Cricetulus griseus: one gene and its partners. The protein of the gene in region 3 interacts with the protein of the main gene of each other region in a pairwise test. Links are inferred from orthologs where the notes say so. Each region holds a gene or a part of one and is shown on either strand. Other genes may lie near its edges. The genes, in order: Hoxa9, Frs3, Trip6, Rad23a, Oip5, Nck2 and Gse1.

Region 1 (4,213 bases), on a different chromosome or scaffold from region 3:
ATGCTATATACACTGGACAAGACTGGAGCCTAGAACATGGAAAGATGAAGACGCCCACATTTCAAAAGTAGAGAAATCATGAATCTATGCATCTTGGAGAACTACCTCCCTTTTCTTTCCACATGTGATTTCACGGGGAAATCCTTACAGCTAGTTTACAATGTTAGGTTGACAGTCTAGTTACACAGTTTTTCACTACAGAGCTATACTCTATGCAACCGCCTCTCCCACCCCCCCCCATAAACAACCTGAGTTCAAATTGAATTCTAGCTTCCACAATCACAATGGGTGCCTCACCCAGCACAGAAGTTTGAGTCACAAAACATAATTACCACAATAAAACACAGTGTTCAAGTATTTTAGCAGAGTGATCTGCCACACGAAGAGCAAATTAAATTAACTACAGAGACTAAAAACTATACAGCCCATCAACAGTTGTGCATTGTATATAAAAAGGTAGTTTTTTTCCCTTTTGCTTTAAGTCAGAAGCAGGTAGATTTTTTTTTAAATATATATACAAGCAAGCACATACAGCCATCAGCGCTAATGCCCTCCCTTGTGTGGGTGTCTTATAGAAAATGGAAAGCTTACAATACCTCCTCCAATAAAGCCGCAGGCCTAGGAGCCAGCCTGAGCAGGGAATGCCAGGCGGAGATGAGGCCCGGGGTTTAGAGCCTCTTTGGGCGGGGAGTGGAGGCTGGGGTTGGGGGAGAGGAGGGAGAAGGGGACAGACAGTCCTTTCTTTTTCTTTTTAGCTTGCTCTTTTCTAAATGAGCCCTGACCGGCGGCGGCTCACTCGTCTTTTGCTCGGTCCTTGTTGATCTTCTTCATTTTCATCCTGCGGTTCTGGAACCAGATCTTGACCTGCCTCTCGGTGAGGTTGAGCAGCCGGGCCACCTCGTACCTGCGGTCCCGTGTGAGGTACATGTTGAACAGAAACTCTTTCTCCAGTTCCAGCGTCTGATGTTTTGTATAGGGGCAGCGCTTCTTCCGCGTGGAGCGAGCATGAAGCCAGTTGGCAGCCGGATTATCTGCGGGGGAGAGAGACACTGGGTTTAGAAGGAGAAGCGTCCTGGATGGGTGTGAAGGTGCCTCTTGGGGGTCTCTGGCCGAACTGCAGGACGCCGCTGAATTTGTTAGAGAAAACACTATGAAGCCCTGGCAGACAGACCCTCGGAGGGTCACTTACAGCTCCCCTCTCATCTCCACCCTCCTTTCTCCGGTCCCCTGCTCTGCTTCCTTCTACGGTCTGCACATTGTGAAAGAGTGAAATTTAGAAGCCATATTCTTTTTGCCAGCAAAGCAAAGAGCAAGCTGCCCTGTATCGGTGTGACAAGAGTAACAAGAATTCTCTCTCATCGCTGTCTCCCCTTCCCCGGCTTCTCTGCAACTGTCCCCACTCTATTTGACCTTCCCGGGAAGGGAAGGCCGTGGGAGCCAGGCGGGAGGCAGGGTGCCCCAAGGCCTTTGATCACGTCTCCACTTTATTTGAATAAATCTGGCAAAGGGGCCCTAGTGGTTCCACAGCCCTCAGCCTCATCTTGGGCAGGATTTATGCAGCCACCGGCCGAAAGCAAGAAGTAGAGGGAATCGGAGGTCTCCCCAAGCGTCCCGGGTCAGGTTGCCCAGCTGACTTAGCTGCCGCAGTTCGTCAACAATCTAGCCGCACAAAAGACTTCTCTGCACTGCTTTCGAAGAACCGCCCAAAGTCTGTCTGTCTTGGGCCTGGATAGTTTAGGAGAGGGGCGGCGGGTCTCGGCTCTATTCGCTGCGCCCGCCCCGCCCCCTCTTGCTGCACCGTTCTCCTCCCCTTCCCCCAGCCGGCCCGGCCTGCTCCACACACTTCTCTGGACTTGGGGCCCCTATCTGAGGTGTTCCAAACACCAATTTCTAGTTCTCGACCCCAGATCCAGAGGCTCCCATCGAGGACGAAGGCAGGCTCGAGAGAAAGTGGATATAGATCCTGGTAGATCCTGGTAGCCGGCGTGGAGGCAGCGGCCGGCTTGCAGGAAGGAGACACTTACTGGGGTCGATGGGGGGCTTGTCTCCGCCGCTCTCATTCTCGGCATTGTTTTCGGAGAAGGCGCCTTCGCTGGGTTGCTTTTCTCTATCAACTGGAGGAGAACCACAAGCATAGTCAGTCAGGGACAAAGTGTGAGTGTCAAGCGTGGGACAGTCACCCCTTCTGGCCGACAGCGGTTCAGGTTTAATGCCATAAGGCCGGCTGGAGGGCAAGCCCGCGAAGGAGAGCGCACCGGGCGTGGGCTCCAGCCAGGAGCGCATGTACCTGCCGTCCGGCGCTGCCGCCGCCACGGGCGCCTGGGGGTGCACGTAGGGGTGGTGGTGGTGGTGATACACGGCCGCCGGCACCGCATTGGCGCCCGCCGCGTGCACCGGGTTCCACGAGGCACCGAACACCGCCGTCTTGGACTGGAAGCTGCAAGGGCTAAAGTCGGGGTGTTCGGCCAGCGCTGCTGCCTGCCTTGGGGGTTGGCCCAGGGCCCCTGGCGCATAGCGTCCAGCGCCCAGCTCGTCAGCAGCATCGGTGCCCAGCAGGAAGGAGTCCACATAGTAGTTGCCCAGGGCCCCGGTGGTGGCCATCGCAGTAGCCCGCGCCTGGCCGGCCCAACCCGACCCGCCGAAATTATGAAACTGCAGATTTCATGTAACAACTTGGTGGCACCAGGGGGGGGGGTGAAGTACAGTCACCTAATAAGTTGCCGGCGCCTGCGCCCCCATTGGCCACGCGCGTCACGTGTCCGCCCAGCAGAACAATAACGCGTAAATCACTCCGCACGCTATTAATGGCCCGGTGTTTTGCAGTCATAATTTTTATAGCAAAAGCCATATGTTTTTATGCAAAGGGATCGCGCCGCTCCACGATCTGGTTTGTTTTAATTGTGGCCAACGAAGATTAAAAGATCAAATCTGGCCTTGCCTCCGTACTCTTCCTTGCCACCCCCTCTACACACACACACACACACCAGACCCACACACATCTTAAGCGGACTATTTTATATCACAATTAATCACGCCATCAGGAAGGCGCGGGTCCCGCGTGCGAGTGCGGCCAGCAGAGCCCCTCACATAAAATTAGACAATAATTGAAGCCATAAAAAAGCAGCCAAATCGCATTCTCACTCTACTGTATTTAAATCTATATTTATGATATTTCATAAGGAGTTATTGTTTCGGAAGCCACACCGGCTGGTGGGAAGTCAGGAACAACCAAAGGATTCGTTTGCCTCGCTGCAGCTCCCTGTAAAAATTTATGAGGACTTGGAAAGGTTAAATTAGACTGTTGTGTTTGGTTGGTGAGCACCCTGTAAATAATCCTTTCGGTCTTCAGAGATGCAAGTTTGCCCCCAGGCCTGCCTTGAAAAAGTCAAATACAAGGCTCTTTCCACCTCAAACAGCGTGGCTACCTCCCCTGCTGACACACCATCCATCGATGGTACAACCACCTAGAGTGGGCTACCGAGCCTGGATAGACTATAAAGCCAGCCAGGCGCCCGCACAGCACCCACATAGTCCTTGCTCCACAATGGAAGGCTCCACGGTGGAACCACCAAGGAGGGAACTTCCAGCTGCCCTCAAGGGTTTGAGGACCTAATTGTGTCACAAACATCGCCTGGGCTCTGGCCCACGACTTTGAGCACAGGCGGTTCAGCGAATTCGATTCCTCAGCCAGCGACCCTGTTCTCAGCTCCATCATTTGTAAGCCCTCTCCCCAGGTTCGAGCTGGGGAAAAAAATATCTGCACCAGGAGAGTTTGTCCTGCTAAAGGGCAACCTAGCCTAAAAGAGGCACCAGCTTGTATGGTGGCCCTCCGAGGGCCCAGTGTGAGCCGTTCTGGGGTCCTCCCCTCCCCTCCTCTCCTCTCTTTCTCTTCCATCCCACATCCCTTCCTTCCAGTCCTCTTTCCCCCATTTCCCTTCCTTCCTAAACCGCCAGCACCCCTGCTTGGTTATCCCCCAAACAGAGCAAAAGAGACCCCCAAAACTAGGCGACTACAGCTCAAGTCCAGTGCTATAGATTAACCCAGGAGGAGCAGGGGACATTGACTTTAATCATATCCCTTGGCCAAATGGAAAATGGTATTTTTTACCCCTTAGAATCTTGGGGGATGACAGAAAGTAAAAAGGCCACAGACACTATTGTTAATTGTGGTGTGTGTGTGTGTGTGTGTGTGTGTGTGTGTGTGTGTGTGACC
Region 2 (4,290 bases), on a different chromosome or scaffold from region 3:
AATCACCAGGCTTTTGAGTGTTCTGCAGTTGTTTATAACCATCAGAGCACCTCCCAACTCCAAGTACCACCCCCCCCAGCTCCCCTTCAAATATCCAGTGCCACCCCTCCCTCCTTCCTGACTCCACACCCACCTGCTTCCGGAATTCCTGTTAGTCCCTCAGGTCAGGTTTCCTGTGGAAGGTGGCCAGGATGGACTGTCCACACTCAGGGGTGGGAACAGCCACACCCCTTAGCAGCACTGTTTCAGCTCCACGAAACAAGGGAGGGGGGGTGCGTTTCTGGGGCCCCAGAAGGGGACTTGTACCCTCTTCCTGATTAGTTCTAGTTTGCATGGAACTGTCTGGCACACAAAATAACAATCAGAATTCAGACCTCTACCCTTCATCCTTCATATCCCCCATCTCAAGAGCAACCTAGGGACGGACGTTGGTGGCGCATGTCTTTAATCCCAGCACTCGGGAGGCAGAGGCAGGCGGATCTCTGTGAGTTCGAGGCCAGCCTGGTCTCCAGAGCGAGTGCCAGGATAGGCTCCAAAGCTACACAAAGAAACTCTGTCCCGAAAAGGAGTGGGAGAGAGAGGAGAGAGAGAGAGAGAGGAGAGAGAGAGAGACCTACTTCACCCCCTGTAAGTCCCCTCCTCTCTCCTTTCAGGTAAGAACAGATCAAACACTGGCTCCGCCCCCTCACCCCAGATGCAACCAAGCTCAGGGTTCAACCTCCCCAAACAACACCTCTTCTTGGAAGGATGAGCCCCAGAGGCCCTAGGGACTGGAGGGCAGTGGACGTGGGAAGGTGTCCCTGAACCAGAGGGAAAGGGAGGAGAATGTACGTTTTCATTAAGTGGCCTCTCGGCAGAGCCCCAAACTTTTCCTAGGACTTTGCAGGTCCACCCGCTGAGCGGGGGTCAACGTGTGCTTACCAAGTTCGCTTGGGGTCCCTGTCTACCTGCTGGTCTAAGAGTAGGGACTCAAACTCTCCGCAGGGGTCTCAGCGTGGCCCAGTCTCTCTCTCTGGAGAGACCCCCCCGTCGGTCTACGCCCCCGGTGGCCCCGACCAAAGGGTGCTGCAGACTGAGGATCGCGCTCGTGGGTCTCAGGACGGGGAGGGCGCAGGCAGGCATCCATAAACTTAGCGACGCGACGCTCCACCGCCGAACCGCGAGGCGTCTGCAGCCCCTCGGCCGGCCCCCGGCTTCAGCCCCGCCCCCTGCGGTCCTCTGCAGCTCCCCCCCTCTGTCCCCAGTGGTCCCTCGCCACTTTCCCTCCTGGATTTCGAGTCCTGTCCTGCTTCAGTGGCCGACCCGCTCTGCTGCCTTTGGTGATTCTCTTCTGCTTGAGAGATCGCTGATACCTACGTTCCCCGCCCCACCCGGCGCCTCAAGCCAGGCCACGCCCCTATGGGTTCCCAGGCTCCGGCCCCGAGCGCCCTCTGGCGTCTGCGCATGCTCTCTGCCCCCGACTGCAAAGTCCTCCAAAGGGACCTTCTAGGCTGCCTGCCGGTGGCCCCCGCCCGGGTCGGCCTGCCCGCAGCGTCTCGTTGGTGCAGCCGGTGACCTCCGACCCCGCGGGACCGGAGCGGGGCGGGGCGGGGAGGCCTTAGCTGCGGGCGGGCGGCGGCGGCTGCTGCTTCGGGACCCGGGAGCGGGGCCCGGCGCCGCCCGGGCCGCGGGGCGATGTGAGTCGGGGTGCGGCGGGGCGGGGACCAGGCGACTTTTCCGAGGCCGTGTCGTGCCGCGCCGCAGTCTCCGCTCCTACCCTAGAAAGCCCCAAACGGGCGGGCTAGCGGCGGACCCGGGGGCTGGGGGCGGGGATGCGGTCTCGGAGGGCGGCCGCGACCTTCGCATTCCGTCTGGGTATCTAGAAAACCTGTAACCAGTTCTGCCTCTCGCTCCCCAGACCCCACCTCTCCTCTCTCCCCTCTCCCCTCTCTCCTCTCCCCGGTTACACCTTCGGGTCTCCGGGATCCCGCAGAACCCCCTCACTCACTTTTCCAGACCCACAGACACATCTCGTTCTCCCCTCAGTGGCCCAAAGGCTTCCGCAGTCACCATCCTGAAATGCCTCAACCTTTTCATTCTTTTTGCTCCATGCCGGAATCCAGAATCCTCACCCATCTTCGTATACATTTTCAGTCCTCATACTTCCATCTAGTGTCTGTCCCCAAATCTAACTACCTCAGACCAGAGCCTCCCCCACCCCACGCAGTGTAATCCCACTCTGGATTATCTAATAATGTGTTTGATATCTCAAAGAAAAGGAGGGGTATCGGAAAGGTACAAGCCCTCCCCCATCTTGCATCCAGTGTACTTGGCTTCCCATCCCTTCCCAACACCCTGTTGACAGTTTAAGCCCTATGGTCTTTTCAGTACCGCCTTTAGCCTGCACACACCTCCTTCCAAAGCCAGACCAAGAGTGTGGGGATTCTTTTACCTAAGTGTTGTGCAAGGGTGCAGGGCTGGTGGGGGGGGGGGGGAGACACACCGGGAAGTACTGTTTTCCTGGAACAGGAAGGAGGGATTTCAAGAGTTTTCTTCGGAGTCCTGGTTTGTCAATTCATCTACCTAGGGCTCAATCTGAAACTTTGCCTCTTGTTGTAACTGGCCTTCCTGGCACTAGGAGCAGAAAGCCTGTCTAGCTTTCAAATGGGCAGTGCCTTATTAATACCTATTTCTAGAAGTTACTTCAGCTAGAACTCCCATGGTTGACAGATGTTTCCTAAAGAGGGGCGGGGGACAAGAGTTAGAGGTCTTGGGGGGGGAGTGACAAGCCCCCACCCAGATATGTCTATGTCATAGCAGGAAAACATTCCTGCGGGTGAATGTTGGTTTTCAGAGGCTCAAACTCGTGCTCTTGCTGCACTAGCATTTGTTAATATTGTTGTTCTGAGAGAGAAGGGTCAGGTGATGGTCTGAGCTGCACCTGTCCCAGAGGGCACTCCAATGATGGCTGTGAACTAAAGGTGCTGGGCTATCGGAGTTCACTGCCGTTGGACCTAGGGAGTTCCTCCCGGGACTGAGAATTTGTAGACCTTTACCAGAGATTGTGTTCACTGGCCTTTCTGTTAGGACCTAGGCCAGATAAATCCAGGTGGGATGCACTGCTAACAAGTCTGTCTCATGGAGAGTTAGGGGCTGAGGATAGGTTTCCATTAATGTGTGATCTCTGTCTCCTGTGCTAGGTGAGCCTCAGGTGTGACCCACAGGGATCCAGGTGACGTCTCTGCAGACTCTTTGCCATGTCACCCCACCAAAGACTGGGGGAGTAAAGTGGGAATTCTTTCCCATGCCCCTCCCATGGTCAGCTCCCCAATGGCCTGGGTGAGGTAAGAACTGTGGCTAGGTGTCAGTTTTGTAGATTTCTTAACTTGGGAGAATTGTAGGGAACAGGTCGCTGGATTGTTCAAGGTCCTACCACAGCAGCAGCAGTTCTGGGATAATCTGCTGCCTCATGGTTTTTTGCTGGCTGAGTCTAGGAGTGTAGCTCAGTGGTAGTAACTTGTTTGGGCTCTGTCCATGTGTTTCTTGTTCCCTTAGGTCACTAAGGTCTACGAGGTCTCCTCTCCATATTAAGGCAGAAACCTGTCTGTTGTGACATGTCATCCAATTACAAGTATCCTGAAGGGAAAAGCCAGCCAAGGTCTTTTATCTGTTCTTTGGCCTTTGGGAAGAAAACTAAGCATTCTGGTAGTTATTTTAGAGTGCTGGTGGTTGAATCTGGTGCCTCACATGAAAGTCTACCACTGAGCTACATGCTGAGCCCCAGAATTTTTTTCTCAGTGAAGAAATACCTAATCAATGTTTTTTTTTTTTTAATCATGCTAGTTTGAGCCCAACCTGGTAGTATGCACTTTTACTCCAGCCCTTGAAAAATGGAGACAAGAGCTCTGTGAGTTCCAGTGTTCAGTCATTAAGTGTGGGGTTGTTTTAGTTTATTGGTTTGTTTATCGCCCCCCGCCCTCCCCACACAGTCTTTCTCTGTGTAACAGCCCTGGCTGTCCTGGAACTCACTGTGTAGACCAGGCTGGCTTTGAACTCACAGAGATCTGCCTGCCTCTGCCTCTGAGTGCTGGGATTAAGGGTGCATACCACCACCACCCGGCATAGCTCATTGTGTTTTATGATCACAGTGTAGCAACAGTTTACTTGAGGAGAACATCAGAATTACTGGTTTCCAGTGGAAATTGGGGTGGGGCATGAAAGAAAAGTCAGAACATGGATAGAGTGGAATGGGTAAGGTAAAAGCTGAGGAAAAGAGAAAGCAACAAGACGGTATCTGGGACACCAAGTGGC
Region 3 (4,149 bases):
CCAAAACTACAAACAGGCAATCAAAGAAACAAAACCCAAAATGTTCTTTTGGTTGATGGACCAAATGATCTCTGGAAACATGTGCCCTGGGTTGACTTTAGAGCCTGTCCTGGAACTAGCTCTTGTAGATCAGGCTGGTCTCGAACTCACAGAGATCTGCCTGCCTCTGCCTCCCAAGTGCTGGGTTTAAAGGCATATGCTACCACTGCCTGGACAAACCTGCTTTGTAGCTAAAACTGACCTCAAACTCCTAATTGTCTCTCCTGCAGATAGCCACCACGTGGAGCTCCTTCCTTCTTCTGTTTCTGCTTGAGTTCCCAGCTTCAAGCCCCCTCCATCATCTGCCCCATCTGACTAAGTATCTGGCCCTCTCTTAGATGGGCAGGAACCCGCCTACCCATCTTGATACTTAGTTTAGCCCTCTTTCCCCCAGCCCAACACTCACCACGTAGCAGCTCTCACAATATGCCCTCCTCTCCACAGCATAGAAGTGCTGGCCCCGGAGCTGGGCCCGACAGGTAGAACACACAAAACAACCAACATGGAAGACACGGTCCAGGGCCACAACCCCAGCTCCATCGCCAACCACATCTTCGCCACAGCCACCACACCGACCTGAGGATAGAGAGCAATGAGCATCAGTCTGTACATATCCATGTCACCAGAGCCACCATCTCCTCCCTCTGCCCACCCTACCCACCAGGTCAGCTCACCAAAGTACTCCCCACTGGGCGGGTGGCTCATGTCATGCACCAATTTCTTGGTCAGTCTCTCTAGCTCTTCTTCCGGAGGTTGGCTTAAAGGGACCTACAGTGAGAATCAGGGCTTTGTGGTACTACCTACAGTCTCTGATACCATGAATAATCTGTAAGGTCAGAACCCTGAAACTCATCTGAGAACATCTCCCAGAAGCTAATGGGGGGGAGGTACCTAGCCCATTCCCTTTGGCCATTTTGACCCATGACCTCTAAGTACTCCAAAAACCAGGATTGATTTATTCATTTATTTATTGTTGGAACAGTGTCTCATATAGCCTAGGCTGGCCTGGAACTTGTTATGTAGCCAAAGATGACCTTAATCTACTGATCCACCTGCCTCTACCTCCACCATGCTTGTGGATAGAACCTTGGAACCCCTGCATAGTAAGCAAGCACTCTACCAACTGAACTGCCTCCCCAGCCCTAAACCAGTATCCTAAGTACTCCATGCCACCCAATCAATGCCCACTTACCTAAAATGACCACAAACCCAGTGTCCCCCATCCCCCACCCGGCTCACCTGGGGCCCATGCCCGCCTCCTCTTCCTCCTCCTGCAGGGCCATGTATCCCAGCGGCTTCCTCCTTTACCCCTGGTCCTGGCTCACGGTGGCTCCTATAGCCAGACCCCCAGACTTCACTACGGCCTGGCAAAGGAAAGTGGGGGCCTGGAAGAGGCCCAGAGGCCTGAGAGGCCCTCCGCCTTGGCAGTCCACAGCCTCTCACTGGTTGAGCCACCTTCACTTGTACAGGGAAAGCAGGACCAGCTGGAGTGCTGGCTGTGGCGTAGGAGGCTGGGGTAGGTCCACCATAAGGGGCTGCTGGGAGCATAGGGGTTGGAACAGCACCTCCACTGGGCTTCAGGGAGCCTGCGCGGTAAGCATGGGGTGGAGGGACCTCAAAAGCCTGGGGAGACACGCAATGGAGAAACAGTGAGTAAGGCCCTAACCAACATCCATGCATTCCAGGTGGGAACCACAGAGAAGCAATGATTTCTGACAAGTTCCCACGGGCAAGGCCCGGCAAGGAGGCAGCCCGTGCTTCCTTGAGCCAGCTGTTCATTAGTTGCAAAGTGTGGAAAGGATGGCTTCAGGCTGAAGAGCCACAGAAGGGAACTGGCTAGGGATGGGGACGCAGACACAGGACACAGGACACAGACCTGTCGGTCTGCCCGCCGAGGAGCATGACTGCGACCCCCGTCCAGATCAGCCAACATGCTAGTGAGTGAATCTATCTCAGCATCCAGGCTTCCAGGACGGATGACACCCCTGTCTGGCGGGAGCCCCTGGAGACAGAGCCAAAGCAGGGAGAACAAATATAGACCACAACCCTTGGGCTTCTGTCGCCTTCACCCTGAGACAGAGACCCACACATCCTCCTCTCATCTCCAATTCTCACCTGCAGACGCTGGGGTGCTCCGTGGGAGCCCACCCAAGTAGGCCCCCGATCGTCCGGTACCCCCGGAGGCTGATAACACTGTTCAGGTGGGAGGGGGCAAAAATTGACCCTGGGGTGGGGCTGGAGTGCTGTAAGGGAGAGAACAGAGGTGGGAATGGAGAATGGTACCTCGTGAAGGCTGCCCTGCTCGGGGTGCCTCTCCTTCACGCATCTGGGGCGTCTGGGAAGGGCTAGGAATCAGGGAAGGTTGCACAAGGGCAGGGGCCTCTGGCTTGGGGAGGAGACATCAGAAAGCAGACAGACAGGAGAGAAAAGGTGAAGGAGAGTGGCCAGTAGCTCCCCCGCCACTCCCGGGTGTGCGAGAGACAAACACTTACTTGCTCCGTGGGCCGGTGGCGGCCCCAGGGCGCCTCGGGGAAGCGCTCTTCCCTGGGGGACTCTGGAGGGCTCTGGCTGCTTCGGGGGAAGCCAGGTGGGCCCCGACATGGTCTGGGATGGTTACTCCACTCCAGACAGAGGTCACGGCCCCCACAAGCCCGGAGCCCTCCTGTCCCGTCCCACGCCCGGTTTGGGACTCCCGCAAAGAAACTTTTTCTGGCTTTTTTTTTCCCCCCTTCCTCCCCAATTTTGGGGCTGGCCCCGCCCCCTGACGTCACCACATTCCTAGAGAGGGTCACGTGGTCCCCCTAAACCCTAATCTGCAATCCCTCCCCTCTCTCTCTTTCTGTGGCCCCCTCCTGTTAAGAATGGGCCGCCCGCCTCGGGAGCCAAGCCACAGGGTGAGCTGCAAGGCGCTCAGAGGCTGCGGCCCAGCCCCTTCTACGATCCCTGCCCCAGGACTGCACGTGGCAGCCTCTCGGCCGGGACCTCAAAAGGCTTCTGGTCTCCACCCCCCTACAGATCTCTCCCTTCCCACCCACCTCCCGCTCACCTACCCACCAGCAGTGCTCCGCCAGCCCATAGTGTTTTGGTCTTTTATTAATGGTCAGTAGTTAGAAAAATAAAACAAAACACAAACATCACCACCCAAGGAAGTGGGAGAGGGAGGCGGTGCGTCTGTGGCCAGGATGGGGACACTGAGGTAGCCTAGAGTCGCAGAAGAGACCAGCCCCTCTGGTCAAGGCACCAATGAAGGAAGTGGAGGCAGGCCAAGGGCAGGGCCACAATGTCCTCCCAGGACTATGGGAACAGCCACCCAAAATTAGTGTCTACGTCCCCCCCATCCAAAGGAGACCATGGTCCCCTTAAAACATCATCCGAAGGGCAGAGTCCACTGGGGGATCCATTGTTCAGAATGGGCCTGGGCCCTCTATGCAACCCTGTCTCAACAGGCTTCAGAGATCAGTGCAGGTGACTGGAGTGACTCCATGAACAAGAAGGGTGGGGCCCAGGTCCCGGCTCAGGGTTTCCAGCAGCGCCAGGTATCTGGGGTAGCGGGCAGGATCGGCAGGCGGTCGAGGCAGGTACAGGAAGGTGAGGGCAGTAGCAGGTCCCTCCTCCCCATCCCTTCCTTCAGGCCCCCCAGGGCCTCCTGCCGCGCCTCGCCCCTGCTGGGCACGCACCAGGGCGTTGGCACTGCAAGCCAGAGCCTCGGCCTCTTCATCTCCTCGACCACCATTCACAAAGTCCCCTTCCTCTTCTTCATGCTCCCCAGTCTCGGCCCCTTCACCCCACACCACCTCTTGCACCTCTGCCCGGATCCTGAGTTGACTCAACAGAGCCCGCAGCCTGCCCTCCGCTGCCCCAGGAGCCTCCCTAGGCCCCAGGCACAGGAAGATCCGGAGCCGGGCACTGTGCCACGCAGGCACCATGCTTAAGATGGTAGCCATCTGCAACAGGAAAAGGCCACAGACGTCCACGTAGCCAGGCCCACCCCGGGGCCGCAGCAGGTTCAAGGGCCACACGTCCACGTGATGTAGCTGAGCGCTGCTGCTGGACCCCCGGCTTAGCCGCTCCGGGGGCAAAGCCCCACAAGCCCGGGCGAGAACCACATTC
Region 4 (4,272 bases), on a different chromosome or scaffold from region 3:
CCAGGACTATATAGTGAAACTGTCTCAGATAAAATAAAGACACCTTTCCTGACCCTTTTACCTTAGGGGAAAAGCTTTGCTCTCAATCATAAGAGACTCCTACTCAATGTGGCCAGTCGACAGCAATCTATTACAGGCCAGACACTTATGCTGCTCGTTGTGTGTGTATGTGCGTGTGATTGTGGTGGCCTAATTGTTCTACAAGAGCTCCATCCCAAACCCTGTTTTACAACAGCCTGTGGAACAGAACAAAACAGAATTCAGTCACTGTTCTCATGGAGAAGACCTTGATGTGAGAAAAAAAGCAAACTTGTATTTCAGATGTCATGTTGTTGAGAAGGGAAACAGTAAAAAGGAAATGAAAGGGTATACCCACTGCTGGCCACAAAAAGTTAACTGTTCTGTAATTATTGAGGAAATCCTTTACCCCCTCCTTTTTTGAAATGGTCTTATTCTGCACTCCAGGCTGGCCTAACTACATAGCTCAGGCTGGTCTGGAACTTAAAACAATCCCCATCTTGGCCTCAGTGTTCAGGGATTATAGACATGACCACTATGCCTAGACTTCACTAAGGGTATAGCAGTGGCTTCATAGTATATTTGAGAAGATTCAGGGGAGGTGGCTCAAACAATAGTATCACCTACTTGGGAGGCTAAGGCAATACCTATCACTTGGGCCCAGAAATTCAAAGCAGCACTGGACAACAAAACAAGACCTCACTCTCAAAAAGCAAAAGCAAACAAAGTTCATGCAGCAAGTTTAGGCTGCTGTCTGTTACATAAAACAAAACAACAAAAAAAAAATTAATCCCGTCTCTTCCATTACTTGCTGTGACCATGGCAAACTTCCTTAACTCTGAGGTTGTCAAACGGGGAAAGTTAGGAGTCCCCAAAGGACAACACTATTTTGCAGATTCAGCAAGACGACACTGGCAAAGAATAAACGGCCAACAAACACGGACCACCAAAACTATTAAGATTAAGACCATTTATTATTATCAACATTGTTGTCACCAGTTGGCACCTCTTGGCCACTGACGCCAAACGTGGTCACCCGAGCGGCTTGCAGGCTGGGAATGCGGAGTCGGCAGCTGGCACAGGAGCGGGACTGGGGACTCGCCCTGGGGCCAACCCGGGAAGGGCGCCTGAGCCCCGGGGCAGGGCAGGGGCGATGGGAAGGGGGGTGCGAGGAGGTCGGGTCGCTGGGAAAGGGCAGCAGGGCCCGGCCGCAAGTCCTCCCCGCCCCTCCCGTTGGATCCGGGCCTCCCTGCCCCCACCCACCCCGACCGACAGCCGGTCGCTCCCGCCCCCGGGCTCCGGCCCGCACCGTCTCCTCAGGCTCCATGCGTATCTTGAAGGTCTGCTGCTGCAACGTTTTAAGCGTGACGGTGATGGCCATGGCGGGGCCGGAGCAATGCGGCAGCCCCAGGATCCTCGTACAACATGCAACTCACGCCGCCGCCATCTTAGCGCCCAGCTGTGCCGTAGGGAAAGCACTTCCGGGACAAGAGGGAAGCGCGCGCAAATCGTCAGTGTATATGACCCGCCTGTGACCCCCTCGACCTCTAGAGCATGCGCGGCAACGCTTCCTTACCTTAGACATGCGCAAACTCAGCTTTGAGCTTTTGCTGTGGGAACAGACATCATAGGGTCTGGGTGATGTCATGCCTAATAGTGATGTCATATGCCTGTAAAATGGCTTCTGAGCTACCCCCCTTCCACCTCCAAGTTTTTAAGGTATTTGTTATAGGATTATTGACCTATTTCGGACATGGCAAAAATTTAAAAAATCCCACAGAGCACTGTTAATTACTCAAGCCTAGAAGAAAGTGAAGTTACTATAAATCTCAAAGGTAAAAATGGTAACTTATGTGGCTCCATTTTCAAGACTATCATCACTTTTGGAATAAGCTTTGACTTCTAGTTCATGGGTCCCCTACCTCTTCATGGTCCTGCAATAACTATTAAACACCTCAAAAGTATTAATATGTGCAAGGCTCCTTTGTATTAAATACTTCATTCTTCCTCCCATAGACTTTCCTTGCTTGCACCTATTTTTCTGGGAGGTAAGGGGTATTACAAGCCTTAGGTTACCACCACATACTAAAAGGTAATGAAATGTCAGACTTGGGAAGCTGGGGCATCTTGAGGGTGACTTAAGAAGCTAAAGTTCTCAGTAAATACAACATAGGCATCAACACTTAATACTCACTACTTTGGAGCTTGCTTTGCCATATTTCTAGCCACACCAGTGACAAAGCACTTGCCAAAGGCCTGCCTCCCTCTGGTCACCTGAGCAAGGTTCTGCCAAGGGCGAATCAGTTTCCTTCTAATAACACAGGCCTCCTGCCCACCTTCCAACCTACTCAGTGGAGCTTAAAATGGAAACCTTGAGACCCCATCAGTCACCCGAATCCCATTTTCTTTTTTTTCCTGTGGTAGGGCATGCCAGGTAAGCCATCTCCAACGGAACACAACCCAATCTTTAAACCAATCCCTTTTCTATCAGCTTAGTCCTAGAAATATTGGCCGCTGGGTTAAGCCACTCACTATCTTTGACTTTAGTTCTTTGACTATAAAATGAGCTACCAGCATTTACTCCACTAATGTGAGGTTTGAATTTGCCCAACTATCTTATGTAGTAGTTTCAGAAAGGAAACCAACAATAGATGGTTAAGATTAAGGTTCAAATATCCGCCCCAGTAGTCAGCACCAGGCTGTCAATCACATGTCTGTTGCCAGGACAAGGGAATTACTACAGGGAGACCTGGCATCAAAACCTGACAGCTGCGTTCCTACTTAAGATTACAGGATACATATCATATGCAGCCATGTCACTTTGTTGGACTCCGCCAACTCCAATAGCTCAAACATGAGCCACCAGCACCTCAAAAGGCCACCTTTGATTCCCTGACGTAATCCTCCCAGAGAAGGAGACACGATAGGGAAGACACAAAACTTAATTTAATAGAAATTTTGTTTGTAGTTCTTACACTCTCAGTGTGAGCTGTGCTAGAACTGGCTGCCCCACAAGTGGCCCAGTCCTGGGGGCAAGGGAGAACGGGGATGAGAAGACCCCCATTCTTCCTCAGTGCTGGGGGAGGGATACACCACCCCCTTCTCCTGCACTCCTCTGAGATCCAAGAAGGAGAGCAGATGAAATCTCAAGCCTAGGACTTTTCCTCCACACCCGTTCCTGAAGTTGGGAGGGTTGTGACCAGGGGTTGGATAGAGAAAAGGGACATAGGGAAAGATGTTGATTCAAAATGAGAAGCCAGGAGGTTGAGGGCTAAAGGAGAATTAAGACAAACACCAGTAAAAAAAGAAAAAAATGGGAGGGGGGAGGTTGGGGGGAGGCAGGGAAACAAAATCAGAATTCACCCCAGATCTGAACCTGCCTGGAAAAAACTGAAAAGTTCCTGAGTCTCATAGAGACATTATTGGGAGCAGCCAGCTCTGCAGTGGGGTGTTCAGGCCTCAGTCCAGCCCTGGAGGCAGGTGGTATGGCCTCTACAGCTCATCCTTGGTCTGGCCAGGGGTAGTATCCTCCTCATCTTCCTCCTTCTCATCCTCATCTTCTTCATCTTCATCTCTGTCATCCTCATCCTCTTTGTCCTCAGCCTCTTCCTCCTCTTTACGCTTCTTGTCTTCTTCTTCTTCCTTCAGCCTCTGCTCCTCATCCTGCTTGTCCTTCATCTGCTTTTCTGAAGCCTGTGGCACAGACACCTTTTAGTACCTGGCTTTTGCCTGCCTGCCTGTTCTCCCAGTTGACCCCCAGTGAAGCAGGAACCCAGCTCACCTTGGTGACACCCCATGTCTCATTGCCAAACTCCTCTGCATAGGCTTCATCATTGGTGATGAGAAAGTTGTCAAAGATTGTGCCAGACTTGACCTGGGGAAGAATGGAAAGACATATGGTCAGCAGTAACTTCTGACAGCCCTGGCTCTGGACAGGACTCTACTTCCACCCTGTAGGGCAGCAGGTGTGGTGGCAGGACATGCCTTTAACCCCAGCACTGAGGAAGCAGACCACTTGTGGGGTTCTAAGCCAGCCAGTGTTACACAGTGAAACTCTTGTCAAAACTTTTTTTAAAAAGGGAGGGAGGGACAGGTATGTTGATGCAGTGGGAAGGCAAGAAGGGAATCCCAGGCCAGACCTGGATATATGGTGAATTCCAAGACAGCCAAGGACACATACCAAGACCACCCTGCCTCAAAACTCTTAAAAGGAAAAAAAAAAAAGATGTAACACCATTCAAAAGCCATGCTTTC
Region 5 (3,975 bases), on a different chromosome or scaffold from region 3:
GCAGCCTTGTTTCCAATTTGAACTAATAAAAAAATAATCTCTTGGGGAAAAAAAGAAAAGCAAACAAAAAATCCACAAGATAGCAAATACCTGAGGGCCTAAGCTTTACTCATTAAAGTTGTGTAACTCAGAAACATTTCCAAGTACTCTTCATTGCCATTCAGACAGATTCGAGGAGCATCTATGGTCTCATTATTCTGTTTATATCACTTAAAAATATTTGTGATGACTGAATAGACATTTAGTGTAAATATCAGCTTGCTGTACAAATCTACGGGGTACACATGTGGGAAATCTCAACTCCAACATAGCAAGCCCCAGTCTCACAATGAATGACGTTTTCTCTGAACACCTTGCAAAAGTCCTAACCGGTTTTGAAAAAGAACACCATCACTATAGCGATCATACTATATCCCCATGGCTTGGCATCCAAATAAAGGCCCAAGAAGATTGTAGGTACTACTATCACAGTTTACTTAAAAGTAGTAATTTGGGAAATTTCCAGGAGCCAATTCAACTTTTTCTAATAACAGGCATTAGACATTACATTGATTATGTCTTATGGGTCTGTGTTTCCTTCTGGCAGCAGGAAACTATCATTAGAGTTTCTAGTAAGAGGCCTTTATGAGTTCCTGCCTCCAAATAAAATAACAGATATATCTTCTCTTTCGTTTAACAGATTCCAGCCAACGTGAGCCGAACCTACTCACCCAAAACCAGAGTCCCCCGGGGGTTCCCTCTCTGTCCCTTCGCCCCGTGACCCCCACACCCCTGGTCTCTTCTACCCCGCCGACCCAACTGCCCGCACCACCAGCCAGCACCGTACCCTCAGGTTAGCCCGGAGGCCCAGCCGTTTGGCTAAATTTTGCAGGTCGCTGTACTTGAAAGAGTCCAACTCCTCTGCAGAGGGGACGGTCATCGCGTTCTACAATCCCGGCGACACCCAGAAAAACAACCAGGCGACTCAAACAGCAGCGTTCAAAACTGGCGCCACCCAAGGCGTTGACAAGCCGACTTTTATATTCATTTTAAATGGAGGCTGCTGCACGTCCATTGGTTGAACGCCTCGGGGGTGGGGTTTTCCGATGCTGGCCAATAGAGCTGCTGAAGCGCGCAATAGCGCAAGCCTAACCAATGAATACGCGGCGCTCGACGGCTTGTGGGCGTGCCTTACGGGCATGTTGTCCAACGAGGATGCAGGAAACTTCGTTTCGGTGGAACCTGGCGCGAGCGTACAAAAAGAGGCGCCGGCTTCAGAATGATGGCTCGCTCGCGGCGCCTCCTCCCGTCCCCCGAGTCGCCGTGCTGCAGTGACTCTTGTGACACGCCTTCTGCTGCTACCTCCATGGAGTGGGACACTCAGGTGGTGTCAGGGTCTTCCCCTCTAGGTCCTCCGGAGACTGAGGTGGAGACGTCACCGGTCGACCTGCGGCTGCCTGCGTGGCTGGAACCGGAGAGGTGCGCCGTGTTCCACTGCGCGCATTGCCACGCGGTGCTCGCCGACACCGTGCATCTCGCCTGGGACCTGTCGAGGTCCCTCGGGACCGTGGCCTTCTCCAGTGAGTGAGGCGAGGGTTGGCGTCTGAGAAAGGGTAATCCCGACCTGTGGGATCGTAAACGAGCTGGGTGAGGGAGGCGTGGTTTTGTTTTCCGGAGCTGGGAATCAAACTTTGGACCGACCTCGCGTGAGCTAAGCTTGCGCTTTTGGATGAGCCCCACGCGTTTTGTTGACTTTTATGACCAGGATGAATCTGGTGGGCGGTTTTCCTATTCAAAACCCTTTTGTCTTTCAGGAGTCACGAACAATGTCGTTTTATTAGAGCCCTGTCTCGTTGGCATTGAAGGTTCTCTCAAATGCAGGTACGTGCGGAGAATTCCTGAGAAGGATCTATAGTTCCTTATTTAATGACACCGAGGACTATGTAGTTGTCGTAAACAAGAAAAAAAACTTTATTTTTGTTGTGACAAAAGTTTATTCTCTCCATACAATATATTTGGATGGTACATTTTTTATGCGTTTGAAACATGTCAACAAGGCATTAATGAAAGAAAAATTAGAGTTGGGTGTAGGTTTTAACATCTGAGGACTAAAACATCCTGTGAGATAACTAGGACTATTTAAATTTTAATTTAACTTGGAGTTTATATTACAAACCATAACAGAACTAATTCTGTAATAATCTCTGAAACTGGGGAAACACAATTGAATGTTTGGTGTTTCAGTACTACTAGTAATTTGCCTCTTCCCATATTTTCCCCATAGCAATAAAGTACTCAGCAAATTTGTGCTTATGAGGCCAAAACTAAGTTGTAACCATACCTCTATTCCACTTTGCCAAACTGAAAGACACATTCCTATTCTTATAGGAGTCCTTTCTCACCTGGTGGTTTATGCCTTTAATCTCAGTGCTTGGCAGGTGGTGTGTGTGTGTGTGTGTGTGTGTGTGTGTGTGTGTGTGTGTGTGTGTGTGTGTGTGTAGAGAGAGACAGGTGGATCTCTGTGAGTTCCAGGCCAGGCTGGTCTACACAGTGAGTTCCAGGACAGCCAGAGCTGTTACAACAGAGAAACTCTGTCTTGAAAAACCATAAATAAACAGTGTGTGTGTGTGTGTGTGTGTGTGTGTGTGTGTGTGTGTGTAAGTATGGTTGGGGGTCTTGGGGCTTGGCATATATATTGAGGTTCAAAGGCAACTTGAAGGAGTCTTTCTTTTCACCATGCTGGTCCCAAGAATTAATCTCAGTTCCTCAGGCTTGGCAACAAGTGCCTTTACCCCTTGAGTCATCTCACTGCTCCTGAAGTGACATTTTTAATATGTTTAGCTATGTAAAATATCTTAATTTCACAAAAAATAATGATTTTGCCTTGACTTTACAGTTCTACCTCTCCCTCCCAAGTGCTGGGTTCTCATATATGGAAACCTACACCAAATCTCTTTTTAAAAGCCTGGTAAGCCAGGTGGTGGTGGCACACACCTTTAATCCCAGTACTCGGGAAGCAGAGGCTGGTCTACAGAGTGAGTTCCAGGACAGCCTTCAAAGCTACAGAGAAACCCTGTCTCAAAAAAACAAATAAATAAGGCTGGGCATTGGTGTCGAACGCCTTTAATCCCAGCACTCGGGAGGCAGAGGCAGGTGGATCTGAGTTTGAGACCAGCCTGGTCTACAAGAGCTAGTTCGAGGACAGGCTCCAAAGCCATAGAGAAACCCTGTCTCAGAAAAAAACAAAAAACAAAACAAACAAACAAAAAAGAGTAGGGGAAAATATTCCACTTCACTGCCTGTTGCTATTATGACTTGTTGTCTTCCAGATTGATGGAATATTACAATGAATAGAAATTAAAATCTAGGGGCTGGAGTGATGGCTCAGTAGTTAAGAACACTGACTGTTCTTCCTGAGGTCCAGAGTTCAATTCCCGGCAACCACATAGTGGCTCACAAGCACCTTAAATGAGATCTGGTACCTTCTGCTGGCGAGCAAGCAGAAGACTGTATACATAATAAATAAAATCTTAAAAAAAAAATTAAAATCTAATTGACCTTGTTCTATATAATGAAATGGAGATACAATTTGTTTACATATTAGAAGTAAATGCCTTAAGTCCTCCAGTGTTCATGATCCAGGGCCCAACAAGCTATATTATGTTAACTCTATAGCATGGAGCAGAAAAACCCCAAACATCTTAAGGACAGTAGTAATTTTCTTTATAAGGTAGGGCGCCATGGACTGTACAAGTGATCGGAGGCAGTACAGAAATTAATTTTTGTCATAAATTATGACCTTTGTTTTTTTTTTTTTTTTAAGATTTTATTTATTATGTGTACAGTGTTCTGCCTGCATGTATCCCTGGAGGCCAGAGGAGGGCACCAGATCTCATTACAGATGGTTGTGAGCCATCATGTGGGTTCTGGGAATTGAACTCAGGACCTCTGGAAGAGCAGACAGTGCTCTTAACCTCTGAGCCTCTCTCCAGCCCA
Region 6 (4,069 bases), on a different chromosome or scaffold from region 3:
ATGCAAAACTGAGAGCCTGGAATCGGACTACGGGGAGCTGGAAACCACCTTGTATCTGCTCTGCCCATTTTAAAGGGGCCAGTCTCTCCACAGGTGGGCTGATCAACTCTCAAGCAGCCAGGGCTCATTCAGCAACTCCCCACCCAGGAGTCGCTGCACATCTAAGAGGCTGAGAGCAAGGCAGGTGGTGGGGCTGTAACTCCAAGTTTTACGGCCGCACAAAGTTCTCAATTTTAGCCTCAGACCACTGGGACCTTTCTTTCTTCCATCAAAACTACATTAACCGACTAGAATGTGAGAAAGTTTAAGGTAGGACTGTCCCTTGTGGTCATTTAGGAACAATCCCCAAGGTCTAAAACCTTAACTAACTGAAGTGCACTTTCTCCTTGTGTCCACTGGCTGCCTTCGCTATATTAAACACGAATGTCTGTTTCTAAATCTCTGTATCTATAAACACTTGGAAAGTGAATGGAGGGGAGTGCCCACGATGTTTTGATAAAGTGGTGACCTTTACACTAGAAAACCACTGTTGATAACTATACCCAAAACCCAGGCTTGAAACACATGCAAAATTATTTTCATTCCTCCTCAAAACCCCTGCAGAAAAGCCTGCAATGGGTGAGGAGCAGCAAAGGAGTCTCCAGGCCATGCCCACTGGCCAATGGGCTGTTTCATTTGGGGTCAACCAAGGAGCAGGCCTGGGCACCTCCAACCCAAACTGGGACCTGTTCATCCCAGACACAGACTCAAACTTGGCAGGATTAGCCTTTAAACCTCTTAGCAAAATAAGGAAAAGTAAATAAGGGACAAACTGCCGACCTGAACAGGCTAGGGTGGCAGGGCCCACGCTATTTAGCGCCCAGCTGTGTCCCCAAGCTATTCACAATACTACTGTAAGTCACGTCTGCTATCCATTAACCACCACCCAGAGTCCCGCGCACACCTTCCGGGAGAATCGTTACAGTGTATAAATTACAGCGTTTTGCAAATCAAACCCCTCCACACAATGCCAAGCTAACAGTGCTCAAAAGGGAGGTGCCGTCGGGGCATTAAAAGTCCCACATCAAATTCTTGCAAAAACCACTTGCTTAAATCGCCCTGAACAAACCGAAGGGGCAAGGCGGCTGAGAGAAACTTTGGCTCTGGAGGTTTAAGCCTTGGGAATGAGGGGCAGGGCACACGGACTGGAACCTGGCATAAAAGCGCCCTGCACCGAGGCACGGACCTCTTGTATGAGACGTGACAGTAGCTTTGTGCCGGATCACTTATAGTTCTAAATACAGTAAGTTCTCCCCGGCCATCGCAGCCCCTAGCTTCCTAGCGCCGGGGCCCTTAGATCCCAGGCTATTCTTCCCAGGCACGCGCGCCCGGCGACCGGGCCACGGCTCGGTCCCACGCCCGCCCGCCCGCAGGCCAGGGCTGCTTGTGCTCCCGGGGGCTCTCGGTCCTGGTCCCCGGTGTCAGCCCGAGGAGGGCGCCCCACCCCCACGCCAGCCCAAGGCTGGGGAAGGCGAGGGCTCGCAGAAAGGTGTGTTTCCGAGGTGCGGGTACCCGGGGACGCCCAGGCCGCGGCGGGGCCGAGGGCACCAGCGGGGCGCGCAGGGGGGACGCGCTCCCTGCTCCTTCCCGGGCGGCCCCTGCCCGCCGGCCCCTCTCTCCCAACTCTACCGACCCAACCAAGTTTGCAGCCCCCCGCCCGTCGCCTTACCTCTCTATACACCGCACGCCGAGGCCGGAGGGCAGAGGCGCGGGTCCCGGGGCGGCGGCCGCGCTGCGCCCGCCCAAATGCCGCTCTTTGTCTACGCCGCTCCCTCCTCCCGCCGCCGGGCGGACGCTGCCGGCCCGGGCGGACCCCGCCGGCCGGGAGCCCCGAGCCCTGCCCGTTGCCGAGCCCTCCCCGCCGCCGCCGCCGCCGCCCGCTCGGCCGCGCGCCCCGGCCTGCGATCCGCGGCGGCGACCCTCCCGCGCAGCGCCCGCCTCCGCGCGCTCCCCGCCCGCCCGCGCTCCTCCCCGGCTGTCGTGACGCCGCCCAGGGGCCGGCCCAGCTCGGCGCGCGCCGGGCGGGGGACCCACCTGGGAGTCCCGGCCGGGCCCGGGAAAAGCGCCGCCTGCGGGCTTTAGGCAGCAACCCGCTCTCGATCGGAGTTGGGGGGCGGGCAGGGGAACGAGGAAAGAATGCAGTGCTACTTCCAGCCCGCTAGTCCCACCGGGTGGTCTCCGCACCCCCGCTGTGCCTTGGATTCTTACAGCGACCACCCCATCACCCCCCCTCCCCGAAAGCATTCCCACGGCACTCTCGGCCAAGCTGGCCTGGTGTCCGTCAGAAAAGTGACTTACATAAAAATGTCACTTCCTCCCAGTAATTGCTTGTGGGCATTTTCTTTATTTATTTGCCTTGCATCTATTTACTTTCCCAACCAGACACTTTTTTTACTCCATCCTCTCAGGCGGGACCACTTCCTAGGGGGAGGAGAGGAAACCCGACCTCCGCTGCCTCCCGGGCGCCCAGGCCAGCTCTATGGAGCCTGGGATTTCTCATTTAGCACAGGAGAAGGCTGGGAAGGCGCCCTCGCTCAACCAGCCTTGAGTAGTGGCTAACCTGTAAGCAAATTTAGAAAGCTAGAACCCTAGAACAAGAGGAAGGAACACATACGCCTTACACACCGGAATCCAGATGTTTCTTCTCCAAGCTCCTTCTCTCATGGTTCTCCAAAGGAAGCCTTAATATTCAAATGAATTCAGTTTCTGGTTGGGTAGCTCGCATTTATGTTAATGAGATTCTACCCTGGCCCTTGGCTCCTCCTTATCAAGGCAGAAACAATTCACCCTAAGTGGCCAGTCAGCTGCCTCCCTCCCTAAAGGAAGTTTCCAGCCATGGGTAACCTGAGGAAGCTTGGCTTTGTAATCATAGCACGATTGTAGGCTTCCTGAACTGTGTCACCTTACACGTGTCTTTCACAACCTTTCTCAACTTTATCACGTGAGATGTTTGCCTGCTTCCCATGTAAAGTATCTGGCACATAGCCCGACCAAAAAGCATTAGGTACAAAATCAGCATATCCGACATCCCCTTCCAGTCGGAGATGCTATCTCCTTTCATTCTTTTGTGCAGACCTCATCCTGCTAATATCTAGCTTTACAATAAGGAAAGCAGAACGGTAATCAATAGTTTAACCGTATTTAAAATCCATTCACTCTAAATAAGGTAGGACAATACAGACCCAGCTTTTTTAGCCTTTTCTTTGAATAGTGGCCTCAGACTGCTTCTCTTACTATTAAATCCCTAGGGAGGTTTGAAGAAGAATGGCTCCCATAGGCTCATATGGTTAATCCCCAATTGGTGAACTATTTGGATTAGGAGGTGTGTCCTTGTGGGTGGCGGTGTGTCACTGGGGGTGGGCTTTGAGGTTTCAAAAGCTAGGCCAGGCCCAGTGTGTCTCTCCACTGCATGCCTGCCTGCTTGCTGACATGCTCCCTGCCTTAATGATAATGGACTATGTCTCTGAAATTATAAGTAAGCCCCCAATCAAATGCATATATATATATATATATATATATATATATAGAGAGAGAGAGAGAGAGAGAGAGAGAGAGAGAGAGAGAGAGTCTCTTTACAGCAAGTCCCCAGGTCCCCAGTGGCATCTTGTATCTAAATTCAATAGCTCCTTCTCAAACCCTAGCCCATCTAGTTTTCCTGCAGACAGGTGACACTTTTGCTGTTGTCTGAAGTCCAGCATCTTGTTGTAAGGTCTTTCGTTCCCATTCTTACTTTTCTGGCCAGCCCGTCTCTGTCTGTGAGTAGTTGTCTTCCAAGCATCAGACAACAGTATTCCCAAAAAGGGTGTGGTGTTTTCATTGTGAGATGGATGTTTTCTGTATGTATGTGTGTGCTAGTGTTTATGGAGACAAGATGGCTTTTGTCTGGTATTCTCCCTGATGACTCTCACTTGAACCTATAGCTCTCTGATTTGGCTACTGCAACTAACCAGACTGCTGGGGGAATCCCCTGCCTCTACTTCCTGAGGGTTGCATATCCACCTGGCATTCACGTGGATATTGGGAACACAAA
Region 7 (3,500 bases), on a different chromosome or scaffold from region 3:
ATGCACAGGCCGCTGGAGGCTACGGGAGAAGAGGCGGGTGAGTAGAGGATTCACTTTGGTCTGGGAACATGTCACACTCCCCAACAGTGCAAGGTTGCTCCTGCGACTCCACCTCCCATCAGGCCCAGAATACACAGAAGGGCAGCTGCTTGGCCCTCAGACCTGTCTGGCCCTTAAAGTCCCCACCAGTGGACATAGCTGCTAGATGAGCTCTCTGTGCCCAGACCCAGAAGATGGGTTTAAATGTGGTTAGGAGAAGTGTTAAGTCTCAGCATGGAGTGGACCACAAGCACAGATGGGGCCAAGGACTTCAGGACAGAGCCAGCCAGAGGCTAAGAGCGGCACCCTCCATCAGCTGGTGTGAATTCCAAGCCTGCCTGGAGCCACCCCGCGTCTTCCCTAGCCTGGCACTTACTTGAGTGGTTGGAAACGGGAGTCTTGTACAACCGAGCTGGGGGAGAGGCCGAAGGGGTAGGGGGTGCTGAGCAGGTGGGAGGGAATGGTTGGGCCTGCTGCCTTCTCCTGGGCTAGAGGAGGCTCCACAAGCAGGCGCTCCCGACCACTGCTGCTGCCTCGTGAGACAGAGTCCTGTGGGAAGAAGACACAGCATTAGGGCATGGGGAGCCAGCCAGGTCCACAGAAAGGCCCCTGTTTAGCTCGTATTATAGAAACATCCTTCCTTTAATGTTTCTTCTTCTTTTTTTTTCTTTTTTTAGGTGTGTGTGGGGTTCACAGGGTTTCTCTGTGGCTTTGGAGGCTGTCCTGGAACTAGCTCTTGTAGAACAGACTGGTCTAGAACTCACAGAGATCCGCCTGCCTCTGCCTCCCAAGTGCTGGGATTAAAGGTGTGCACAACCACCGCCTGGCCCTCTAATGTTTTCTTTAAAAAAAAAAAAAAAAAAAAGAGGTATTTAGGGAGAAGGCATGGGGTAAGGAAAGTATGGCCTCCCATGAGCAGGTCTGCACTACTTCCCACAATCAATCCCACATGGGGTAGTCATAAGGTCACAGCACATATACCCTAGGAACTTGCAACTTAAGATAGCAGCTATTCTGGACACTGGGGACACTCTTTCATACTTTTAGGCTGTGGGACCCCAGGAGCGGCTCACAGTAATCCCTGGGCCTGGGGAGATCCAGCCTCACGTTGTCCTGTACACACTGGCTGATACTTGCTAAATCTGTGGGTGTGACTGTTAGGCACATAGTAGCCTAGCACAGTAACACCAACTGTCCCTGGAGACAGGCCTGCCAGCTCGTCCTTCAAGTCATCTAGCACTGTGAGGGTGATGGCCACTGAAGCCCATGTAAAGCAACAAGGGGGGAGGTTACTGTTGTGTTACCAGCTAAGCCTCTGTGTGTGAACTGAGGGGGCAGGTTACCATAGCACCTTCTGGCTCCATTCTCACAGAGCCTAACACAAGCCCTCCTGCTCCCCACAGACAGACAGCCACGATTAATTGAGGAAGACAGGCTGCTGATTGAATTTTTAATGAGCAGCAACATCTGTTTCCTTCCCAGAGTATAGCAGCAGGCTGTCTTGGTTCCCGGTGGGGTCCTCACGGGTTCATGACCTCTGACCTGCCCTTCTCAGGAGGGGCATTCACACAGTAACCATAAAGGTGGGGGGCACTTATCCCACCCACACCAGGACAAACAAGGAGACTAGAAGAATGGCCATCAGGCTCTGACCAGGGCCTGGCTGAACTTGAGCCAGACATCAGGGAAATAGGTCAGCTGGGAGCTAGGGTGATGCGTGGGTGATGGAGGAAGGAAAAGACCAGGCTTGGTGGCCGTCCCAAGGCATCGGATGCCCGGCTGTGGAAAAGACAAGACACATCTGTAGCGCTGCTTGACGCAGCTGCATCCATGAAAGGCATCAGCTAGGGGAGGAGGGAACTGTCATTCTCCAGTGATTAGAGCAAGGTCTCCACAGTTGGGCAAGTGGGAGATGCCTGTTAGCTTCAAAATAGACCGTTTTTCATTTCATCTCTCCTCATGCGGCTTCCACTGCCTGGTCACCCCCTGAGCAGGGCCCCAGAGCCACCACCCCCTTGACTTCCAACAGTGGATACAGCCTCCAGAGGCTCCCAGTGACTCATGGCCACACTGCAGGGAGAGCCGCATCCCCGCCCTCCTGGAAAGGATTAAGCTCTCTGCTGAGCTCTAAGCATCATCTGCTCATTCTGTCGCCCTCCCTGGTGGCACACAGGTCTCATTAACTGCAGTGTGAACTGCTGGAGCGGAGCCATCACGGCCCTTCTCTGGGTTACTAAATGTTTCTGAGGTGGTAAGGACCCTCTGAGGACAGTGACAAGCTCCAGGCAGAGGAGTCATGAGGCAGAGGCACAGGGACAGGGGACATGCAGGCACACATGAGGTGTCTTGGACCTGGGCCAAGGGCTCCTCCAATCAGTGGAGGCTCCAGGCTCAAGGCAGGAGCAGGAAGTGGCCTCCGACAAGCTTCTCTCAGGAGTGGACCCAGAGCCAGCTAGCCACCAGGCAAGTCGGCCGCCCAGGGAAGGGAAGCTGTATGGAGGGTAACATCAGCCGACTCACTGTCTGAGGTCAAGGCTGAGCTCTGGGAGGAGTCCACAGACAGGGGATCATGGTGACCTATCCTAAATCAGGATAGGATGGTTCTAGGCTGCTCGGAGCCAAGCTGAAATTCAGGGACAGACTGACAGACAGGCTTCCTTCGGTAAGTGCTATTCCAGCCACAGGAGGAAGGTGCCAAAGCTGGCCCCCAAGCTTCTTTCAGGAGTCTGCTGGATGCTGGAAGGGGTGGGGTGGGGTGGGGGGGTGTACTTTACTGGGGACCAGGGACACCCAGCAGACCTGCCCCAGCCCAGCTGGGAAAGAGATGCGCTCTCCCCCTCCCCCTCCATCTTTGCAGTTTAATTAGTACTTCCTAGCAGTACAATCCCTCTGGGAATAGGGCTGGAGAATCCAGGGAAAGCCACAGCTGACAGCGGTTCTTAATTAGCCAGGCCCCTCGGGCGCCAGGCGGGTGGGAGGCCCAGCAGAGTAAAGGGGAAGCTCCAGGCACTGGCTCCTCCCGTCCAGTTAGCTTCATATGTGGCCAGCTGGGAGGCTGCAGATGCACCCAAGACCCCTTTATGCTGGGATCAGGGACTATCAGTTGGCCTATACTCTCGTCCCTACTCCCCAAAAGCAGTGACAGCTATTGTCTACCCAGGGACCCAAGACTTAGACACCACCTTAGGCACTTTATGGTGTCATGGACTGTCCCTCATCTGTCTCAGCTTGGTGCCTCTGAGTAAATATGTCTTTGCTGACCCCTAAAGAAGTGATTACAGTCAAGGCCACCAGAGGACATACCATCTAAAAGTAAAGGAGCAGGCCTCAGCAGCCCCTTCCCCTCCCCTCATGCTCTGACTTCTTAAACCAAGAAACCTGTCTGTGGTACTCTGTCACAAGCCTGACATTAGGATTACCTTAATCCTAGCATCTTCCAGTACTGGGTGCACATCAAGCCC

What was found.
Region 1: the proteins of Trip6 (region 3) and Hoxa9 interact in binary tests that used the Homo sapiens proteins (3 or more experiments, as listed by UniProt). The two-hybrid records come from large-scale screens. The link is inferred for Cricetulus griseus from reciprocal best matches to the Homo sapiens genes TRIP6 and HOXA9.
Region 2: the proteins of Trip6 (region 3) and Frs3 interact in binary tests that used the Homo sapiens proteins (3 or more experiments, as listed by UniProt). The two-hybrid records come from large-scale screens. The link is inferred for Cricetulus griseus from reciprocal best matches to the Homo sapiens genes TRIP6 and FRS3.
Region 4: the proteins of Trip6 (region 3) and Rad23a interact in binary tests that used the Homo sapiens proteins (3 or more experiments, as listed by UniProt). The two-hybrid records come from large-scale screens. The link is inferred for Cricetulus griseus from reciprocal best matches to the Homo sapiens genes TRIP6 and RAD23A.
Region 5: the proteins of Trip6 (region 3) and Oip5 interact in binary tests that used the Homo sapiens proteins (3 or more experiments, as listed by UniProt). The two-hybrid records come from large-scale screens. The link is inferred for Cricetulus griseus from reciprocal best matches to the Homo sapiens genes TRIP6 and OIP5.
Region 6: the proteins of Trip6 (region 3) and Nck2 interact in binary tests that used the Homo sapiens proteins (3 or more experiments, as listed by UniProt). The two-hybrid records come from large-scale screens. The link is inferred for Cricetulus griseus from reciprocal best matches to the Homo sapiens genes TRIP6 and NCK2.
Region 7: the proteins of Trip6 (region 3) and Gse1 interact in binary tests that used the Homo sapiens proteins (3 or more experiments, as listed by UniProt). The link is inferred for Cricetulus griseus from reciprocal best matches to the Homo sapiens genes TRIP6 and GSE1.

Annotation. Positions count from the first base shown.
Region 1 is NC_048601.1:89,118,375-89,122,587, reverse strand, and holds the start of Hoxa9 (homeobox protein Hox-A9), read right to left. Parts: upstream 2,801-4,213; 5' UTR 2,602-2,800; coding exon 2,025-2,601; intron 1,032-2,024; coding exon 793-1,031; 3' UTR 1-792. UniProt on the Homo sapiens protein: Sequence-specific transcription factor which is part of a developmental regulatory system that provides cells with specific positional identities on the anterior-posterior axis.
Region 2 is NW_023276806.1:255,491,768-255,496,057, reverse strand, and holds the start of Frs3 (fibroblast growth factor receptor substrate 3), read left to right. Parts: upstream 1-1,490; 5' UTR 1,491-1,676; intron 1,677-3,179; 5' UTR 3,180-3,323; intron 3,324-4,290. UniProt on the Homo sapiens protein: Adapter protein that links FGF and NGF receptors to downstream signaling pathways. Involved in the activation of MAP kinases. Down-regulates ERK2 signaling by interfering with the phosphorylation and nuclear translocation of ERK2.
Region 3 is NC_048597.1:116,225,497-116,229,645, forward strand, and holds the start of Trip6 (thyroid receptor-interacting protein 6), read right to left. Parts: upstream 2,801-4,149; 5' UTR 2,641-2,800; coding exon 2,532-2,640; intron 2,283-2,531; coding exon 2,155-2,282; intron 2,042-2,154; coding exon 1,916-2,041; intron 1,663-1,915; coding exon 1,279-1,662; intron 808-1,278; coding exon 714-807; intron 616-713; coding exon 446-615; intron 1-445. Other genes in the region: Slc12a9 (solute carrier family 12 member 9), read right to left, coding at 3,489-4,149. UniProt on the Homo sapiens protein: Relays signals from the cell surface to the nucleus to weaken adherens junction and promote actin cytoskeleton reorganization and cell invasiveness. Involved in lysophosphatidic acid-induced cell adhesion and migration.
Region 4 is NC_048596.1:159,529,258-159,533,529, reverse strand, and holds the start of Rad23a (UV excision repair protein RAD23 homolog A), read right to left. Parts: upstream 2,801-4,272; 5' UTR 1,400-2,800; coding exon 1,328-1,399; intron 1-1,327. UniProt on the Homo sapiens protein: Multiubiquitin chain receptor involved in modulation of proteasomal degradation. Binds to 'Lys-48'-linked polyubiquitin chains in a length-dependent manner and with a lower affinity to 'Lys-63'-linked polyubiquitin chains.
Region 5 is NC_048599.1:58,866,844-58,870,818, forward strand, and holds the start of Oip5 (protein Mis18-beta), read left to right. Parts: upstream 1-1,175; 5' UTR 1,176-1,258; coding exon 1,259-1,559; intron 1,560-1,793; coding exon 1,794-1,860; intron 1,861-3,975. Other genes in the region: Nusap1 (nucleolar and spindle-associated protein 1), read right to left, coding at 827-919. UniProt on the Homo sapiens protein: Required for recruitment of CENPA to centromeres and normal chromosome segregation during mitosis.
Region 6 is NW_023276807.1:5,069,783-5,073,851, forward strand, and holds the start of Nck2 (cytoplasmic protein NCK2), read right to left. Parts: upstream 2,801-4,069; 5' UTR 2,665-2,800; exon of another isoform or gene 2,654-2,664; intron 1,896-2,653; exon of another isoform or gene 1,709-1,895; intron 1-1,708. UniProt on the Homo sapiens protein: Adapter protein which associates with tyrosine-phosphorylated growth factor receptors or their cellular substrates. Maintains low levels of EIF2S1 phosphorylation by promoting its dephosphorylation by PP1.
Region 7 is NC_048596.1:197,185,358-197,188,857, reverse strand, and holds part of Gse1 (genetic suppressor element 1), read right to left. Parts: intron 589-3,500; coding exon 416-588; intron 20-415; coding exon 1-19.